Callithrix jacchus: one gene and its partners. The protein of the gene in region 1 interacts with the protein of each later gene in a biochemical or structural test. Links are inferred from orthologs where the notes say so. Each region holds a gene or a part of one and is shown on either strand. Other genes may lie near its edges.

Region 1 (4,177 bases):
GTGGAAGAAAGGACATGGAGTTCTCTAGAGGCATCTTCCCTAGATATCATATAGCCTGCTGTCCTTTGGGTCCCAGGCACCTTTCAGAGTGTACAGATGATTCTCTCTGGTTCCTAAGGCAGAGAGCAATGACCTGGATTTTCAGTAAAGAGATGAGGCAGTGGCAAGTGGCCTCTAAAATAAGATCAATCATCCTCTGTAACCTATCCACACCCCCAAAGGCAATCACCCAGACCCCCAAAACATCTCACACATCCCCAAAACCGACTGCTGGTACAGCTGGAGAAGGGGCTTTATGGAGCTCCCAGAAAGACACCTCTTTAGCTAAGTGCCCTCCCTCCACCCAGGTTCTCTCTGGTTTGACTGTGCTGGGCAGGAGGTCTCCAAGCAGCCACTGGCCGCAGCCATGGCAGACAGAACTCTTCTCTAAGTCGCCAATGATCACAGGCATCCCAATAAAAATACTTCCCAACTCTGGGGTGGAAGAGTTTGAGGAATGAATTTTTAGGGGATTGCAAGCCCCAATCCCCACCTCTCTGTCCCTAGCAATCCCCCACCCCTTCCTGGCTGCGCCATTGCCCAGTGGCAAAGCTTCCTTCTGGAGAGACCACCTAGTCATGTTTCTCATCCTGCACCTCGGCCTCCCCACCCCATCTCAATCATGCCTAGGGTTTGGAGGAAGGCATTTGATTCTGTCTTGGAGCACAGCAGAATCGACATCCTCAAAATTAAAACTCCCTCACCTGTACCGCTCTCTCAGATATCTGATTCTTCATGTCTAGAAAGGAATCTCTAAATTGTTCCCCAAATATTCCTAAGATCCATACCCTAGCCACACCAGAAGACACCCCCGAACAGGTACATCTTTTTAATTCCCCTGTTTTGGAGAGGTCCTCAGCTGGCCTCTTTATGCCCCTCCCTTAGCTCTTGCCAGAAAAGTCAGAGGGCAAGTGGGGCACAGCCAAGAAGAACCCCTCCCCAACACCCCCAACCCTTCCAACTTTGGAAGCCTCCCCACCCGCTCCCCAGTTCCACTTCCTCTAGATTGAAGGTCCCAGGAAGAGAGCAGAGGGGCACCCCTACCCACGCAGCCCACACGGTTCTGAGGACTCAGCGCATCCCTGCGACAGCACCTCTGGCCCAGGCTAGGCTGGGGGGCTGGGGAGGCAGAGCTGCGAAGGGGGGAGATGTGGGGTGGACTCCCTTCCCTCCTCCTCCCCCTCTCCATTCCAACACCCAAATTGGGGGCCGGGCCAGGCAGCTCTGATTGGCTGGGGAACGGGTGGCCGGCTCCCCCTATCCGAAGGGCAGGGTTCCTCCCTGCTCTGGATCTGGATAGTATAAAAAGGGGCCCGGGCCAGTCGTCTGAGCAGACGGGAGTTTCTCCTCGGGGTCGGAGCAGGAGGCACGCGGAGTGTGAGGCCACGCATGAGCGGACGCTAACCCCCTCCCCAGCCGCAAAGAGTCTACATGTCTAGGGTCTAGACATGTTCAGCTTTGTGGACCTCCGGCTCCTGCTCCTCTTAGCGGCCGCCGCCCTCCTGACGCACGGCCAAGAGGAAGGCCAAGTCGAGGGCCAAGACGAAGACAGTAAGTCCCAAACTTTTGGGAGTGCAGGGATACTCCTCTATATCGTGCCTTGCGCTTGGTCCCGGGCGCCGCGGCTTAAACGGAGACGTGGATGTTCCGAAGACGGGAATGGAAGGGAGATGATAAGGGCTCTTGCTGGGCGCCCTGAGAGAAGAGGGAGCTCACCCTGGGAAGGTTGGGGGTGAGCGCGCCCCAGGAGTGGGAGGTGAGGGTGGAGCGTGGCATGAGTTGGTGCAGGAGAGAATCCCGAGCGCGCAACTGGGAAAGTGGGGATCTGAGTGCAGAGTGGGGGAAGCACGTCGAAGATGGGATGGGGGCGCCGAGCAGGGGATTTGAAGCCCAAGGTGTAGAAGCGATTGGGAAGGCTGTGGGATGATTCATAAGGAAAGATTGCCCTCTCTGTGGGCCAGACTGTTGCTGGGGCCGCGGGGGTGCTGGGCCGCGGAGGAGGGGGCGCGGGGCGTGGGCGGATGGAGGATGTGAAACTTTGGCGTGGACTTGGCGGGGTGGGGTCATTGCTCCCCCTGCTGACCGATGCTGCTCACTGCACCTCCCTGTCCAGCGCTTCTTGGGGCAGAAGCCGCAGCGGGAAGACTTGGGTTTTTGCTGGGTGCGGACCCCACCTCTAGATCTAGAAAGTAAAGCCGAGGATGGGGCAGCCCCAGCCTCTTAAAGAGGTGGCCCGGCCGGCGAGGTTGGCCCCGCCCCAGCCCCATAGCTTAGCGTTGCCCGACACCTAGTGGCCGTCTGGGGAGCCGCTAGCGCGGTGGGAGTGGTTAGCTAACTTCTGGACTATTCGCGGACTTTTTGGTTCTTTGGCTAAAAAGTGACCCGGAGGCACTCGCTGGCTTTGGGGAACTGAGGATGGCCGCGAGAGTGGGCTTTTAAGATGTCTAGGTGCTGGAGGTTAGGGTGTCTCCTAATTTTGAGGTACAAGTCAAGTCTTGGGGGGGACTTCAATCAGCCGCTCCCATTCTCCGAGCCCCGCCCCCGCCACTCACCTGCCCAGGGAATGGGGGCGGGATGAGGGCTGGACCTCCCTCCTCTCCTCCTGCGCCCCCCTCCCGTGCCCACCACGCAGGCCACTCCCCACGAGCCTGCCCTAGCGACGGGCCCCTCCTTCTCCCCATCCCCTTCCCCCTCACCCTGTGGTTTTTATTTCACTTGGCTTCAGCGCCAGTGGGCTGAGGTTGGAGTTGGAAGCCACCGCGGCCTAAAGCTTTGTTTAAATTCCTGAGAACTGGAAAGAGTTACAGCCTCCCTGGCCAGGCGCCTCGGCGCTGTCACCGGCGCTGATGAGGAGCAGGCGAGCTTTTAAGGATTTGAGGAAAGAGGAACCGGGGGGAGGGGCAGGAAGTGAAAAGCCCAAGTGTGCCTCTTAGATCCGGGGGAAAGGTGGTTAAAGTGGGGGTCTTCGAGCCCGATATGGGGGTCCCAGCCTCATGACAACGCCCCTCTTCCCCCGCCTGTCCCAGTCCCACCAATCACCTGCGTACAGAACGGCCTCAGGTACCATGACCGAGACGTGTGGAAACCCGAGCCCTGCCGGATCTGCGTCTGCGACAACGGCAAGGTGTTGTGTGATGACGTGATCTGTGATGAGACCAAGAACTGCCCCGGTGCCGAAATCCCCGAGGGCGAGTGCTGTCCCGTCTGCCCCGACGGCTCAGGTGCGGCCGCGCCCGGGGCCTGGGGCTGGGGCTGGGGCTGGGGCTGGGGCTGGGGCTGGGGGAGGTCGGCGCTCGCTGGCCTTGCCTGCTGGTGACCCGGCCGCCGGGAACGGCCTTAGCAAACCCTGGCTCTAACACGCGTCTCTTCTCCCGCTAGAGGCCACCACCGACCGAGAAACCACCGGCGTCGAGGTAATCTCCCGCCCTAGACTTTTGCTCCTCCGACGCCCGTGACTCCTCACGGTCCTCCCTTCTCTAACCTGGCCTCTTGTTTCTTCTCCCCTAATTCCACAGGGCCCCAAGGGAGACACTGGCCCCCGAGGCCCAAGGGTAAGCGTGAGCTCTCTGGGCTGCCGGGAGCTGCAGGTGGGCGTGGCTCCCGGACCCGCGCTCACCCCGGACCCGCCCTCTCCCCCTGCAGGGACCCGCAGGCCCCCCTGGCCGAGATGGCATCCCCGGACAGCCTGGACTTCCCGGACCCCCCGGACCCCCCGGACCTCCCGGACCGCCTGGCCTCGGAGGAGTAAGTGGAGAGGCCTTGTGTGTCCACTCTCCCGTTTAGTTTTTGGGTTTTGGCAGATGACATAATTTTATACTTTGAAATAATTTCAAACTTACAGAAAAGTTGCAGGAATCCTCCAGAAAACTCTCACATACCCTTCACAGTTTGTGACATGTACTTTATTAGTCTCTGTTTATGTAATCGTGTTTTTTTTTTTTTTCCTGAACTGTTTGAGTAAGTTGCTACTATCAGGCTCCTTTGCTCCTAAAGACTTGGGTATGCTTTTCCTAAAAACAAGAGCATTCTCTTTACTGAGCATAGCACAATGATTAAATTCATTCTCTAATGTGCAGTTCACGTTCAAAGTTCACCAATGTCCCAATAATGTCCTTTACAGGTTCCGCCCCCCACACCC
Region 2 (3,570 bases), on another chromosome or scaffold:
GTGACTAGGCATTGGGAGTGGGGTGGGGTGAGGAGGAAGAAAATGTTAACAATGATGCTACAATGTGGAGATCAGAGGCTATGTTGTCTCTGGAGAGACTGAAGATGGAGAAGCCAGATGGGAGGCTGTAGGAACAATACTGGCCCCAGATTTGTCGCCATGAACTAGACAGCCACTAGCATGATGGTGGGCATGAGCAGGCACTCAAAAAATATTTACTTGGATAGATGGATGGATGAATGGGTGGATGGGTGGATGAACGGATGGATGGACGAATGGATGGGTCCTTGGAGACAGAATGGACATATTTGAGAGATAATTTAAAAATAAGTAGTATTTATTAGGTACTTGTTACGTACCAAGCATTTTCTGACACATCCCCACAACAGTCCTATGAGTTAAGAACTATTTTTATTCTCTCTTTGGAGGTGAAAAAACTGAGACTTGAAAAGTTTCGGCAATTTAGCTGAGATCTCACAGCTAACAAGTGATGGAGATGAGGTTTGAAGTCAACCTTCTGTTTGACCCCAGAACTCACATTTTTGGACCTGATTCTTTGCTGATGCTCTTATGCTTTTAGCCATAAGAGTCTGGCATAGGGCTTGTAACCTGATGATGCTGTTTCAAGTCTTGTTGCTTGCTGCCAGGTACACTCTGACTCATTCCCTCTTTCCTGCTGGGATTAGGTCTAGGAAGGGGACTTCTGAGATTGGCGCTGGCCCATAGAACCACCAAGCCAACAGTTTCCTGAGCAGGCACTCTATATTCTGAAGTGCCCAATCCCTATCCCCATCCCCATCCCTCAGCCCTCACCTTCTCAAACTCGCCAATGGGGGCTGGGCAGCTGGTGGGGTCCTGGCACACACACATGGGTGTGTTGTTCTCATCCAGCTCGCACACCTTGCCGTGTTTGCAGTGGTGGTTCTGGCAGGGGTCTGTAGGGCAGAAAGACAAGGAGTTAGCCTCACCTGGATTAGCACATCCACCCCCATCCTACCTGGACAGATCTCAGGGCTGAAAGTCCCTGGCTGTGGCTCCTACTCTGGGCTTTGGGCAGTCCAGAGTCCTGCCTGCTCTTGCACTGAGCCTAGCAGTCAGCATTTAGGGAGCAGCTGGTTCAGTCTGGGGATTAGAGGTTTATTTCGAGATAGCGGTCAGGCACTTTTTAGGGGCTGGAGGCTCAGTCTGGGACCCAGAAACACTAGATGCCATATGACTTCCCCAAAGATTGAAGCAACCATTGTGTTCCTGGGTCATCACTGAGCAGTCACAGTGAGGCATTTCTGGATTCCAGAATAAGCTTTCTAGAATGCCTTAGAAAGTCAGATGTTGACAATGAGCCAGGGAGCTGTGAGGCCCAACAAAACAGACTTAAGTGGCTGTAAAGGAAAAGGCAGAAAAGCCCCAAGGCCCACGCTGGACAATAGAGCATGGTAAACACCGGATGAGGTGGGAGAGGAGGCAGGAAGGAACATAACTCAGTAGCTGTCCCTCTGTTCCAGTAGAAACCCTGTGCCCAGCTAGATCAAACACCATTAGCTCTCCCCTCAGGATGAGAGCCTAATGTGGCCTTTTCCTTGACATGCTTATTTTGAGTATTTTAATAATCCTTTATTGGATGCCTACTCAGCTTGTCTGAAAAGCTCCTGACAGCCCTGGGATGCAGGTCTGCCATCTCCATCCACCCCATGTAAGAGATGAGAAACTGAGGCTCCGAGGAGTTAAGCAAGCTGGCGTGGAGAAGCCTAGGTTCAAAGCTTGGTTGGACTGCTTCCAAAATCCATGCTCTTAACCCCTTGGGTGCAAATGCCTTGCACTTAGAGCTGGAGCCAGAGCCCCTAGGTCATTGCTCCCCCAGGGCTCTAATGCATGGATAGCGTGGTATGAATTATGTCAGGTTTCATTTCCTGCAGACCTCGTTTCCTTGGGCTGTGTGAAATAGAATGAGCTTATGAGTGTGCAAGTTCCTGATCTCTTCTCTCAGATCTACTACTCTGTGGGGCACGAACTGAGACAGAAGCGATGGGGGATTTCAGCAACCAGATGTGACCAGGGACCCCCATGGGAATGGGAAACTCAGCTTTGGACTAGGGCAAGAGCTATGAGGGGAGAAGGCTATTTCCAGCTGGAGAACTCTCCTTCCCGCCATGCACATGGATGGCCTGTAATCCGATCTTGCCCGGATCCCAGGGGACTGAGTACCACAGTTTCTCAGTCGTTAAGTCAAAGCGGTGTTTCCTCCATAGCCCACTGAGGACCCCACCCTGCATTTCCACTGGAAATGGTAGGTCCTCACATAGGCTGTCCTCATGCCCCAGACCCCCAGGCAACCAAGGGCAGCTTGGATGTGCCAAGTCACAGGGAAGGGACATACTTTCAGCCACCACCTCCTCTTCGGTTTCCTCCGCACCTTCGTCAAATTCTCCTACTTCCACCTGGACAGGGTTGGCTCCCACAGATACCTGGAATTGGTAGAGAAGAATGGGTATAATGGTCCCCACTCCCATCCCAGACCCATAAGGGTACCCGAAGGGCTTCAGGTCACAGAAAGCTCAAATGCAGGGTTGGGAATCCAGATTTAATCTATAGACCCACTGTGTTTTATAGTATGCCCGGGATTCTGTTGAGCTGCCTTAGAAACCACCAGGGATGTTAAGGAAAGAGAGTGTGAAAGGAAAATATATCTTGGGACCCCAAAATCACTAAGCTAAGAGGAAAAGTCAAACTGCGAACTGCATAGGACAAATCTGCCTCCCATTCTATGCAGTCATCCTTCTGAGGCTCACATGAGATAAACCATTGTCTGATTGCTTCCTCTGCCCTGTTACTTATGTAAAAATGCAGACTCACTGAGCCCGATTCAATTGTGTATTCAGTGGAAGGCTGAACAAGGACTCAAAAGAATGCAACCAATTGTCTCTTATCTACTCCTAACCTGGAAGCTCCCACTTCTTGAGTTGTCTTGCCTTAGCCAACCCAACCAATGTAAAACTTAGACATACTGATAGATGTCTCATGCCTCCCCAAAATGTATAAAAGTAAACTACTCCCGACCACCTTGGGCACAGTCTCAGAACTTCCTGTGTCATGGGTGCATCCTTAACCTTGGCAAAATAAACTTTCTAAATTGACTGAGACCTAGTTCAGACATTTGAGGTTCACAAGGGGGTGTCAACCTCCACCCCGACCAGCCACACCCGAGCATCTCCCTTTTCCTCTGTTTTATGTTTGGGGAAACTATGGATAATCATGGAAGAAAAATTATTTTACAGCTTAAAATACAAAAATTTCAAGGTCCTGTCCCCCAAACGTAGGGTTCCATTGAAGGGTTGGGAAGCATTCAGCAGTGTGTCAGGATGTGGGGGATACTCAGGGTTTGCATCTATGCTATGTGTATGTGGAGATGAATGCCCTACCCTAGCACTGAGACCTGCTGCACCTGCCCTAATTTCTCAAGGCACAGATCCGGGTAGAGAGGGGCTAAGGGGCTGTAGTCACTGCTCACCTACCTTCGTCACCTCTGCCATAGTTTCTTCTACCACCTCTGTCTCATCAGGCAGGGCTTCTTGC
Region 3 (4,327 bases), on another chromosome or scaffold:
GAGGCATTTGATATACATATTGAGTAACTAGAAAACACTCGCCCCATAATACACACACACACACACACACACACACACACACACGACCTTGTCATACAACACTCCCACCCAAGAAAAGCGAAATTGCTGTTTGATGAACGTAAACCCGTGGCTGTTTCCAGCAGTCAGGAGTCCTGCCAGATTTAAGCACTAAGATGGGAAATGAGCCCCAGGGGTTTCCCCCTGCCTGTGCTGCGATCCTTATTTGGTCAAGCTTCTACCTATGCCCTGGCCTCGGAGCCAGCCAGATAGCCTGGACCAAAGCAGAGGGAGCGAGGCTGCTGACGTCCCATCCCGAAGAGATGAATGGAATTCCAGGCAGCTGGAGTCATGCTGGCTTGGGACAGTGGCTTGGAGACCAGACTTCAATGACAGAAGCACTAGGCAGCGGCACTCATGGCAATGTGTGCACCCACAGAAACGTAACTCACACCTCGATTTCAGGAGCCGAAAAATGAAAAGAACGTTTAGGGAGGAAAAAGGGAAATACAATAATAAGCAGAGGGTAATTTATTACTCTATGGGTCTGTTCTGTAAATAGTTGAAGACTCTGGAGCCAGATGGTTCTGCAAATTCTCCAAACAGGAGTCACGTTAAGAAGCACGAGTGGGCACAAAAACTGTTTTCCAAGACACAATTTCAATTTGGCTTGAGGAAACTGGATACGAGTAAGTTTCCTTAAAATTCGAGTAAAGAGCCGCTGTCCTCCCCGGGCCCCTTGATGAGAACACGCATACCGCCCCCAAGCGGCCGGCCGAGGGAGCGCAGCGGCAGCGGGAGAGGCGCCTCCGTGGGCCCCGGGTGGCCGCGGCAGGAAAGCTTCCGAAGGCGAGCGCCGCGCACCGCCCTGCCCGCCCGGCCGACGCCGAGCTCACCTCCCGCCAGGGCGGGCGTGCGGCCAGCCCGGGACGGGGGATCGGGGCACGCGTGGTCCTCACCCCACCGGGACGGTGGAGGAGGGTCAGCGAGGGCCCAAGGGGCCGCTGCTTGAATGAATGGCTCTTTCGGGGTCCCCTGCGCCCCGTCGGCCCATTTTTCTGGTCACAAAACGGGCCCCCTGTCCCATGTACCCCTCTCAGCCCTCGCCCAGGCAGTCCGGGAGACAAGCTCGCCCGAAAGCCCCCGCCCCACCCCGCGGGCCCTGGGTGGTCGCCGCAGCCCAGTCCCTGCTCGGGATGCTCGCTGACCGCCCCGGGCCCGCGTGGCGCAAGAGCGCGAGCGCCGAGCCCGTGAGCGCCAAGGCTGCGTGGGCGGGCACCGACTTTTCTGAGAAGTGCCAGTGCTACCAAGCCCCGACCCCCGCCCCCTTCACTTTCTAGCTGGAAAGCTGCGCGCCAGCAGCGGGGGGCGGAGAGGAGCCCAGACTGGCCCCCTCCCGCTTCCTGCCCGGCCGCCGCCCATTGGCCAGAGGAATCCCCAGGAATGCCAGAACTCCTTTAAAAGCGCGCGGCTCCTCCGCCTTGCCAGCCACTGCGCCCGAGCCGGCCTGCGAGTTCAGGGCTTCTGCAGCTCTCCCGGCGCTACCTCCACTCCGGACGCACCGGCGACACCCCGCCTCTGCAGCCCTCGCCGCCCTCGTCCCCGCTCCTGGCCGCCGCGCTCCGGTCCACACAGGTAAGACGCCTCCGCCGAGGACCAAGGCTGCCCGGGCCACCTACCTGGAACGCTGAGGCTTCGGTCCCTTTGGTGGACCCCGGATCCCACATTCTTCCCCGCTCACCTGCCCCAGCCCGCCCCTCCCGCCCGCTGGGGGACTTTTCAGGACAAAGCTCCAGAGCCATCCTCTCCAGCCTTGGGGTTCACAGACCACCTCATCAGGACACACCAAGATTTCCTTACTGGTCTTCCTTAAACCTTTGTATTGGCAGTCCAGTTAACAGTCTGTACTTTCCCGTGCCCTCTCTGCAACCACTACGGCTCCTGATCTGGTTCACCTTCGACTTCCCAGAAGCCCCCAAATTGTTGGTCTTGCGCCCCCACACTTTAAAACCAGCATCTCTTTCCTCCACTACTCACTCTCACACTCTCTCTCTCTCTCTCTCTCTCTCTCTCTCTCTCTCTCTCCTCTCTCTCTCTCTCTCTCTCAAGTAATCCTGTTGTCCTTCATTCAGCAAAGAGGGATGGCCCCGGCCCCATGCCCAGCCCAGTTTCTTTTTCTGCCCACCCTCCCTGCCTAGCTGATCTCTGACCCTGGGCTCTTGTGCTGCAGGATCGTTCCTGCTACAGGATCCCTGCTGGGCACCAACAGCTCCACCATGGGGCTGGCCTGGGGACTAGGCCTCCTGTTCCTGTTGCAAGTGTGTGGTACCAACCGCATTCCAGGTGAGTTTGTGTGGCACCTTTACGGGAAGGAGGGATGAGGATGAGGTGCTGGCTACCCCAGGTGTGCCCCCTGACATGCTGTTCTCTCCCAGCTCCTTTTCTCTTGAGCCAGACTGGACATCAGGAGGCAGCTTCCCTCTGATCCTGGTCTTTATTCAGCTCTTTCAGTGGTTGCCAGGAGTTTCCACCCCAGCCCTTGCTCCCCACCCCTAAGGACTCAGCCCCCTACTGCTGGTCCCAGCCTAGAAATCTCACTATATGTTCTCTCCTGTCTAACAGAGTCTGGGGGAGACAACAGCGTGTTTGACATCTTCGAACTCACCGGGGCTGCCCGCAAGGGATCTGGGCGCCGACTGGTGAAGGGCCCTGACCCTTCCAGCCCAGCTTTCCGCATTGAGGATGCCAACCTGATCCCCCCTGTGCCTGATGACAAGCTCCAAGACCTGGTGGACGCTGTGCGGGCAGAGAAGGGTTTCCTCCTTCTGGCCTCCCTGAGGCAGATGAAGAAGACCCGGGGCACGCTGCTGGCCCTGGAGCGGAAAGACCACTCTGGCCAGGTCTTCAGCGTGGTCTCCAATGGCAAGGCGGGCACTCTGGACCTCAGCCTGACGGTTCAAGGAAAGCAGCATGTGGTGTCTGTGGAAGAAGCTCTCCTGGCAACCGGCCAGTGGAAGAGCATCACCCTGTTTGTGCAGGAAGACAGGGCCCAGCTGTACATCGACTGTGAGAAGATGGAGAACGCTGAGCTAGACGTCCCCATCCAAAGCGTCTTCACCAGAGACCTGGCCAGCATCGCCAGACTCCGCATCGCAAAGGGGGGCGTCAATGACAATTTCCAGGTGAGGCTTCTTCTCTGAGCCCTGCTACATGGGATCATCTGCTAGACAGGTGACCTGCCAGGAGGGCTACAGGAAATCCTGAATGTAAACTAAAGCAGCAGTTCTCAGATTTTAGGCAGCATGAGCATCACCTGGAGGGCTTGTGAAAGCTCACACTGCTGCACTCCAGTCCCAGAGTTTGGGATTCTGTAAAACTGCAACTCAATTACAAGTACCAGGTGATGCTGATGCTGGTGGTCTGGGAAGCACACTTTTAAAACGACTCAAGGAAACAAGAAATGGTTTTCCTTCAGCAGTCAGCCTGTTCAAACGTTAGATACTCCTTAAGCTCTTAAGAAAATCGCTTATTTCATATGCATTCCCCCAATTTTAATCGTTTGAAATTGATACTTTCTATGGGCAGAATCAGTACCACTTTGCTATCGGAGTTCTCATGGGGATGCAGCCAGTCTCACACAAAAGGTTAAAATAGCAGTGAGCTGTTGCTGTTACAGCTTCTTCTGTGCCTTAACTTCTAGATCTTTGCAACTGTGGCTTTGATCTCCCATATTTAACTCTTTGACACTGGGACGTGTCATTATATCCTCTGGGCTTAAGATCAGATTCCATTTCCTGTGTACCCAAGTAGACTGATAACTGAATTCTTTATAAAATACTCAAGACTTGGCAGAAGTCGCAATTAAGATGTTGAAGTTTTTTGGCAATTTATGTTGGTGTGTTGTTTTGACACAGTGATCTTAAAAAAGCTCTCTGAAGCTTTTAGAATATCTGTTGTGTGCTTTTCCTAGCACAAAGACAGTCTCCCCCAAACCCATCCCACATCCTCTCAGCATTCTACATGTAATGTGTGTCCTCTGTCCACAGGGGGTGCTGCAGAACGTGAGGTTTGTCTTTGGAACCACACCAGAAGACATCCTCCGGAACAAAGGCTGCTCCAGCTGTGAGTACTCCTTTATCCTTAGGGCTCATAGGGAGATGGGGGAATTCCACTAAAAACAAGGGGAGGAATTTAGCAATAGTGGTTATATGTCAGTTACCCCCAGTAAGATCATTAAGCATACAAAAGAGACCTCAAGGGGTACTGTGCACACACGTACACACACATGCCCACATACAACCCCTCTACC

The links.
Region 2: the proteins of COL1A1 (region 1) and SPARC form a complex in vitro, tested with the Homo sapiens proteins (2 studies listed by BioGRID). The link is inferred for Callithrix jacchus from reciprocal best matches to the Homo sapiens genes COL1A1 and SPARC.
Region 3: the proteins of COL1A1 (region 1) and THBS1 form a complex in vitro, tested with the Homo sapiens proteins (2 studies listed by BioGRID). The link is inferred for Callithrix jacchus from reciprocal best matches to the Homo sapiens genes COL1A1 and THBS1.

What each region holds. Positions count from the first base shown.
Region 1 is NC_133506.1:116,132,394-116,136,570, forward strand, and holds the start of COL1A1 (collagen alpha-1(I) chain), read left to right. Parts: upstream 1-1,369; 5' UTR 1,370-1,487; coding exon 1,488-1,590; intron 1,591-3,065; coding exon 3,066-3,260; intron 3,261-3,417; coding exon 3,418-3,452; intron 3,453-3,554; coding exon 3,555-3,590; intron 3,591-3,681; coding exon 3,682-3,783; intron 3,784-4,177. UniProt on the Homo sapiens protein: Type I collagen is a member of group I collagen (fibrillar forming collagen).
Region 2 is NC_133503.1:50,621,123-50,624,692, forward strand, and holds part of SPARC (SPARC), read right to left. Parts: coding exon 3,510-3,570; intron 2,463-3,509; coding exon 2,375-2,462; intron 936-2,374; coding exon 814-935; intron 1-813.
Region 3 is NC_133509.1:47,076,277-47,080,603, reverse strand, and holds the start of THBS1 (thrombospondin-1), read left to right. Parts: upstream 1-1,504; 5' UTR 1,505-1,653; intron 1,654-2,248; 5' UTR 2,249-2,294; coding exon 2,295-2,361; intron 2,362-2,640; coding exon 2,641-3,200; intron 3,201-4,064; coding exon 4,065-4,140; intron 4,141-4,327. UniProt on the Homo sapiens protein: Adhesive glycoprotein that mediates cell-to-cell and cell-to-matrix interactions.